2 linked regions of the Danio rerio genome follow. The protein of the gene in region 1 purifies or fractionates together with the protein of each later gene. This does not show direct contact. Links are inferred from orthologs where the notes say so. Each region holds a gene or a part of one and is shown on either strand. Other genes may lie near its edges.

The links.
Region 2: the proteins of cul9 (region 1) and glmna purify together in Homo sapiens (affinity purification with mass spectrometry; 3 studies listed by BioGRID and IntAct, counting the BioPlex papers as one, with this or other methods). This does not show direct contact. The link is inferred for Danio rerio from reciprocal best matches to the Homo sapiens genes CUL9 and GLMN.

What each region holds. Positions count from the first base shown.
Region 1 is NC_133188.1:6,433,838-6,437,663, forward strand, and holds part of cul9 (cullin-9), read left to right. Parts: intron 1-692; coding exon 693-864; intron 865-1,113; coding exon 1,114-1,259; intron 1,260-1,338; coding exon 1,339-1,468; intron 1,469-2,139; coding exon 2,140-2,342; intron 2,343-3,390; coding exon 3,391-3,668; intron 3,669-3,826. UniProt on the Homo sapiens protein: Core component of a Cul9-RING ubiquitin-protein ligase complex composed of CUL9 and RBX1. The CUL9-RBX1 complex mediates ubiquitination and subsequent degradation of BIRC5 and is required to maintain microtubule dynamics and genome integrity.
Region 2 is NC_133177.1:11,244,266-11,248,890, forward strand, and holds the start of glmna (glomulin, FKBP associated protein a), read left to right. Parts: upstream 1-1,649; 5' UTR 1,650-1,921; coding exon 1,922-1,927; intron 1,928-2,122; exon of another isoform or gene 2,123-2,126; coding exon 2,127-2,186; intron 2,187-2,267; coding exon 2,268-2,393; intron 2,394-4,625. Other genes in the region: putative RNA polymerase II subunit B1 CTD phosphatase rpap2, read right to left, coding at 1,382-1,427, 1,516-1,570.

The sequences.
Region 1 (3,826 bases):
GACAGGGTATTTCAGTGTCATCGAGTGTCAGAATGTTGTGGTACTGCTATTCAGGAGTTATGATTAGGGATTATAGATCGCGGAATTAAGTGGTTTTTATTTTAGCGTGACAGTAAACACGAACGCAGTTAAGACTGTATTAAAACGTGTTTGTTTGTTGTAAAAATTCATAATAATGACAAAAAAATACTAATTTGTGGATCTCCTTACCTCTGGGTTCAGCAATACTGCCGCTGTTGGTGGTGCATTCTGGGAAATTTTCTTAGCCCTTGGTTTCGAGTGTGTTCCTGAAAAATCTCTGTTCAAAGGGCTATTCGCCCCTTCCCCTTAGTCCTATGCCTTCAAGCTAAAGATAATTGGGACACCCCTACCCCTTGGCGTGAATGCGCAAAACAAGGGGTAGGGGTACGGGGTAGAATTGGGATTTGGCCTAAGCCAAAGGAAAGCTCTATAAAACTTAATTTTATAGATTAAAATATAGATTACTTAATTTTTACATGCGATTTGACTTTCACTTTCCCTGACCGTCTTATATTTCGCTCCCAGGAGACCCAGAAGTCTGGTGCCTCATTCAGCACATGTGCTAGTGTAGACTCTCACTGTAATGCATCTAAAACATTGTCTCCTTACTGATGCATCTAGTCATTGACAAGTGAAAGGGTTAAATGAGTTTTGCTCATGTGTTTGATCAGATGATGGATGAAGATGTGCCTGAACCCGAAGAGGAGAGTGATGTGAAAGTGTTGGTGTTGTCTCCACGCTGCTGGGTTGTGTCTGCTCCCTGCTACCTCCAGGACCCCAGCAAACATTTCCCTGCTCAGCTCTGCAATTACCTGGCCGAGTTCACTGACTTTTACACCAACAGTAAGTTCAATTTCCACAGATATGTAAACAATGCTCATCATACAGTTAGTTAAATATATTTAATCTGGTGATTAAAGGTACAGCTCAATCAAAAATGATTAACAAATTAAATCATGTTAATAGAATATTAATGAACATTTCTAGATGAATCCATGAATCTTGGTGATTTATATAATGGCAGTTATCGTTCATTTTTGTGTGAACTACCCCTTTTAAGCCTGAATGTTCATCTGTGTGTCTGTCCCACAGGCCAGCGCATGTATAGCCTGACCCACAGTAAGCCTCGTCGGCTGCAGTGGACGTGGCTCGGCCATGCAGAGCTTCAGTATGGATCCTGCACTCTTTACGTCTCCACACTGCAGATGTTCATCCTGCTGCAGTTCAACCAGCACGAGGTACTCTCAGTACAAACTTAAACACGACATGACTAAATGGACTGGCTTCAGAATTGTTGACGTTGTTTGTTTTCTGCAGGATGTCAGCGTGGAGATGCTACAGCAGGCCACTGGACTCTCTCCAGCCATGCTGAGTCACGCTCTCAAACCTCTCACTGCAGAGAAGGGGCTTCTCACTCACACCGGGTCCAGCCAGGACCCAATCAAAGGTGAAAGCAGCTACCGATAACAACAAAATAAGATGATGTTTATATATTGTTTTTGCAATATATATTTATCTTGTAATTACTCTTAAATGATGATTAGTCAGATTGGACTATTTTTTTTCTTGTCTAGGATGCTATGGGGGATTTATTATTTTAAGTTTGTTTAACAATATCTGTTAAAAGTTTTAAATATACATTTTGTTTTATTACTTTTTTTGACTTATTTATAACTTCTATTACACAACTTTTATAATAACTTAAATTATTAGTGCTCCTGTGAAATATGTGCAGTTTTTTTTTCTTTCGGAGAGGATGCTTTTATTATTTATTTATTTTTTACTGTGACTGAAACAAAAGCAGTTTAAAAAAAAAAAATAGTAATAATTTTTGGTCAGTATTGTTTACCCCCTTCAGATTATTGTTAATATCACCAACCATTCCCATTTTATTAAGGTGCATCTATATAAATGGCCCACCCTGTATAAAAATACATATAAACACATTCAGATCATTTACTTTAATCATTACTTTTAGAATGTGAAGAGACTTTCAACCAGCACAACAAAAAAAAAAATATCTAAAGACAATCACTTACTGCACCTTTAAATTCTTAATTAACAAAAAAACACGTTTGTGTTAATGAATCAAAACTCAATGATTTTGAACTTTTTCAGGCATCCTTAGATTGAACAAAAACACCCTCTCGCAGAGCTCAGACAGACACGGTTACCATTACCTGCATCCCAAGCAGACGTACCTGAATGTAGATGAAGATGCTGCTCTCACGCTCGAGAGGAAGAGGAACTACATCTACTGTCTCATTGTGCAAATCATGAAGAATGAGAAGGAGATGCATATTGACAATTTGGTGTTTCAGGTAAAGTATATTTTAGTTTTAATTTTTAGAATGTTTAATTCTGTCATTGCCAATTGCCTAGTGGTGAGCACATCGACACATAGCACTGAAGTGCTCACGATGACCAGAGTTTGTTTCCCGGCTGGAGGTCCATTGTCAATCCTTTCCCTCTCTTTCTGCTTCCCATGATCTCCTGTCTCCACTGTCCTATAAAACGAAGGTTAAACCCCCCCGACCCATAACCAACCCCCCACCCCCACCACTCCACCAAAAAATATTTTTAAAAAGTATACCACCTTTATTTTTTCATGTTTAAAGAGGCACGAAACATCAGAACACATTTTTTGAGCTGTATTTTTTCATATACGTGTCCCATGCTGCTAATAACTATTAGGACACATCTATTTCACTGAAAAGTGAAATAGACTATTTCAAAACTAATTCGTACTTCCAGTTTGAAACAAATTTTTGAAGCTGCGTCACGGCCATGAGATCTTAGCGTGTATTCCAGCGTGTAGACTGGATGTCTGTACCTGGGGGTACCTTGTGACGTCTCTGAGTGTGCTGCATTCATTCATGTGTAAGACTTGGTTATAACCAATCAGCGCGCTCTATTGTGCATGCGGTGCAACTTTTTTTCTCTCATTCGTCGTGCGGTATCCAACATTGCATTAAAAATACATGCTTACAGCAATTCCTCGAATCGAGAGATCATTTGTCACTAGGGGCATGAATGAAATTCCTGAATAAAAGAGCCAAACTGCAGTTAAAGTCCACCATTTAATAATTTGGCAAATAATTTGATTACCGATGTCCATGTAAACACAGTCACTGTCTTTCTCCCCTGCGTCTCTGTGTTTGTTTGACTGTGAAAATCAGTGCGTGCCCAAACCGACACTCCCATTTTTATGCAAATTTTAACAGACCATCTCTCTTTCCCTCCTCCGACTCTCCCCTCTAAACAGAGCTGGACACGCCCACTTTCCTGACTTTTTCTAAAGTAGAGGTATAAAAAAAACCTTTCAGGGGAGTTTCATGGTCCTTTAATAATATCGTTGTGCCATTGCAGGTGTTGGACCGGTGTCAGAAGCAGGAGTCAAATCGGACTCGCACCTCGGTTCGCTTCAGCTGCAGCACTACAGATGTGCTCTCCTGCATCATGCATGTCATCAACAAAGGCTACCTGCGCCGTAATGATGAAAGCCCACACATCGTGGAGTTCTTGATGGAGGACCCGTCCACTCCCCGTAAGGGCCAGGCACAGTTCTCCTTCAAGATGGATGGAAAGAAAAGCTCCGCAAGCAGCAGCAGCAGCGGCGGCGGCAGCGGGAGCAAAGCAGACACCAGGTGTGCTGATGACACTTAACCTTACCTAACGTGCAAGAAAGGAGGCCCATAACCTGGCTTACATTCAAGTGTTTTCCTTCCCTCTTGGGGATTTGATTTTTACTGAAAAAACAGTTCCACTTCTGCCAGACACTTGCTCTTATCTTGCCATTAGCATT
Region 2 (4,625 bases), on another chromosome or scaffold:
CAATCCTCCCGACTTTACAAATACTGTACTTATCCAAAGCGAGCAGAAGGGCTGCCAAAATCACTTTGGACCCCTCACACCCAGCACACAGCCTCACCCTGCCAACTTTTAACTTCTGGTCAATGCTACAAAGCACTATGCACCAGAACAGCCTGACACCGAAACAGTTTCTTCCCTCAAGCAATCTATCTTAGGAGCACTTAATGATAGTACTTGTGAAACGAACATCACTACTTGCTATACACTTTTTATACACATACAGTGCATCTGGAAACTATTCATAGCGCTTCACTTTTTCCACATTTTTTATGTTACAGCCTTATTCCAAAATGTTCTTGCCATAATAAATTATATATTTGTAGAGCAAGCCATTTTCTTTTGTCATTAATATTTTAACAAACTTTAGGTAAAAACCATTTATTGCAGATGAGTTGGAATACTATATCTCTTGATTGTGAAAATTGCAACCATCTGTTAAAAGTCATATTTTTCAACATTTTTGCAATTGAAATCTTCAATACTCAATATAAAATCATGATTTCTGAAAACTACAAAAGTTTCCAGTTTTAGTAATTTCCAAAAATCTTTTTTTTTTTTTTTTTTTTGCAATTGTACTCTTCAAAACACCATATCAACACGATATCTCAAAAATTAGGAAGTTTTGGAGTATTATTTAATATTTTTGTCTATTATGTTAAAGTTAGTAATTAACTATAAAGAGCACCTGCAGATCAGCTACTGGCATTTGAAACAGCCAATTATTTTTTGTAGGTATCGCCACTTTTTATGTTGTTTGTCTTATATTCTTGTCTGATTTTGACCTGCTCCTGCATTTACCCCAGCTATTTGTCTGTTACTTTCTTTATATGTGATGCAGAATTTTCATCCATACTCCAAGCATTGATCAACTCCAATATTTATAAATTTTCTAATCTAATCTAAAGCCATCATGTCATCAAGTAGACTTTTTACAAAGCATTTTAAAAATACAAGAAACTAAAGTATTTTGATACAAAATATTAAGCCTTTTTCATGAACCTAATCAAAGGCAAATTACAAAATACTATTGTATTTAAAATACGTATTTGAAATACATGCATCACAAATACTTCCCATCCCCGATTGTAATAACTAACGTATAATAACTTAAGCCAGTAACTGTTATGCCAATGTACTATACATTTTATATTACATATTTATATTTACATATCTATATTTTATATTACTCACAAACCCTTAACGTTTCATAAGCGATTAAAACTACAGTAAACTAACTAGTCAGGCTTTCTAAAGCCAGATTCAAAGTTAGTCCAGATATCTTTAATCTAGATGTAATTACTACTCAAAATCAAGTGCAAGTGCAAGTGAAGTTAATGCACACCTTTTCGCTTCATCCTCTGCTGAAATAGCTTGGGTTCCCTTTCCACCTAAAATTCAGATTAAACGTACAAACATTTTGTTAAAATTCAAACATATAAATGAAAAAGTCCATGTAACTTTATATATATACCACACCTTTCTTCTTGGACTTTGAGGGCCGACTCTTTCTTGTCACTTCACCGGCATCCATGCTTGTTTTATCAAAACAAAACTCCTTCCGCTTACATCGGAGCACTACGGCAAGCCGTGTGTGACACGCTTCATCCAGCACAATCCGCTTCAGTTTCTAAACATGCGACGCTGCTTGAAGTATAGAACCTGAGTAAGCGCGCTCCTTCAATTTCTATGTCGTTAAGTAGACCTATATAATATTCACAAAACAAAGCAGTAGCCTAGCTTAAACAAAACTACGCGAACGTTTAGTTCTCCTCTCTCTCAACGAACTCAAGTCCTTTAGAGCATTTTAACGTTAGCTATCTTGCTAATAACTAACCTACAAGAAGCAGTTTGACATCTCTTTGAGGACGAGTGAGGTCCATTTATGAATGTTTTGCTTTTATCATCTCGATATGTGTTATTCTGTGTGTGTGTGTTTAATGATGATTGAGTTGGACTGTGTGTGACAGTGAACTGCTTTTTATGAAGATGTCATGATTGATCGTGACGTCAGTGCGAGCTTGTCTTTGCACCATCACTGCTTTAGTATACTGCTAGAGTGACTGTAACATCACATTATCTTCATACAGAAGGCGTTTCGGAGCATCAGCATGGCTCTAGATCAGCTCAGTGATATGGTCCAGAGATGTGTAAGTGTCTTAATGTGTGCTCCAGTACACTCGCATTAAATCACCTGCAGTCATTTACGTGTGTATTCACTCTTTTTGCAGCAAACAGTCAAGGATGAAAGCTTCGCACCAGAAGATTACGATTTGTTCACTGCTGCTGGAAGTACTTGCATTGAGCAAGGTGACAGTGCTCAGGTTCTCAGCATCCTAGTGGACGAGAAGAACCAGGTGAACTTTATACAGTAGCATCTAACCCAAACTCTACTTTGTGAATTATCTATGTACTGTAGAAGATGCATTAAAGGAACAGTTAACCAAAAATGTAAAATTACCCCATAATTGACTCGCTTTCAAGCCATCCTTAATGTTTACTCTTCATTCAGATGAACAAGAGTAGTTTTAAAGGGGTGGTCCACTACGATATCATAATATAAACTTTAGTTAATGTGTAATGTAGCTATGTGAACATAAACAACATCCCTGAATGTTATACGCTCAAAGTTCAATGCAAAGCGAGACATTGCTTTTACAGAGTTAGCTTAGCAAAGCCTACAGGGGACAACAAAAAAATACATCCAGGTTAATGAGCTAAATGCTTCAGGTTACATGCATTTACATCATGCAGCGAAGGGGTGTGGCCAAAGGCGCTGTAATGTTATAGCAGAGAAAGCTAAAATGCCGTCCAAATTTCCTCAGAGCTTGTTCTGTTTCTGCATAAAGAGAATTGTTTACAATTTAACTTAAATATGTTCCAGAAAATTATAAAAAATAAATATAGCTAGCATTTAACAAAGGACAGCTTCTAGAATCTCTCTTAGTTCAGTGCTGGATTTGGCTAAAAACTCCTCAAAGGAGAAGCAGCTCCAACCTTTATAGACTAAGCTAAGGATTGTGAGCCACAACCTGTAAGTGTTTTTATTGGTTAAAATTGATCTAATACATGCACAGTGTCTACCGTTAATGGTATGTTGTAGCAAGGATGTAAACAAGGATGAAAACAACAGGAAATGCTGTTTGGCACCACTAACAATGTAGCTACAAATTTATATTTGTCCGTCAAACTGCTGTAAACAGCCACAATCTTCAGCAGCGCCGCAGTGTCTCTTTATTCAGCCACTTTCCCTGCGTTTTTCATCTCAAATAATGAACTCACAAAAGATATGTGAATGTTTCATATTACTTACACATGCTTATTCCGAATATATGTAAAGGACACTTGTCAGATTTTATTTTAGAGAGCAGGCGTGAGGTTTAGCTGTGTCCTGTTCATTTTCTGTCTGATTCAGGCTGAAACTTACATGGCTAACAGCTACTCTGACTGACAGTATTTATACAGCCGAGGCACAACATGTGCTTGTAAAGGCGTGACACTTTTCCTAGTGATGTGGAGCTGATCTGCGAATAACAGCACATTATTTTAAGTGACCAATCAGAGCCTCTTGAGAGCAGGACTTTTAGAGGAACTAGGAAATATGAGTCGTTTTTTATGTTAGCTGAGTAGCTGTATAAAATCAAAGTTGAATTCTTTTTTTTTTAACAAATGAAGCATGAGCACACATTGCTTTGCATCATATAAACACAACCAAGCCTTAATTACACTTTGGACCACCCCTTTAAATTTACCATGGCTCTTCCATGCTGTATAATGGTGCTGGGAAATGTCACTTTTTTTGAAGCTTTCACAAATCTGTCTAAAACTAACCTATTTACCACCAGGGGGTCAACGCATGTCTTAAGAAGTAGATGAGTGTGTTTTTGTAACAAAAATATTTAGCGATGAGCTGAAATGAAAATTCTGGATGCACTTGGCCGAAAACCAAAACCCAAAATGCTTAAAGTAATTTTGTAAAGCTTTTTAATTTTAACTCAATAACCTATTATATAAATTAGATTAATTATATTACATATATATATAAATAATATTATATAAATTAATGATAATTATAGGGATGCACAATATTGAAATATTTTATTAAATATTTAATATGAGTTTAAAATAATATTTATTTAGTAGTTAGCACTGTCGCCTCAGCAAAAATGTTGCTGGTTCGAGTCCCGGCTGGGCCAGATGGCATTTCTGTGTAGAGTTTGTGTTTTCTCTCCGTGTTTGTCTGGTTTTTCAGTCCAAAGACATGCGGGATAGGTGAATTGTGTAAAATAAAATGGCCACAGTCTTTGAGTGTGTATGTGTGTGAATGAGAGAGTGTATAAAAAATGTGCCAGATTAGTTGGCGGTTCATTCTGCTGTGATAAATAAGGGACTAAGCCAAATGATAGGATGAGTGAGTGAGTGATATTATAATGTTCATATAGGCCCCGTCTACACTAATCCGTTTTAGTTTTAAAATGCATACGTTTTCCTACAGTTATGCCTACAGTCCACACTACCCCAAAGTTTTCCAGCCCTGAAAACGGAGCGTTTTAAAAAATGCTGAAGAGGCCATTTTGGGTTTAAAACGC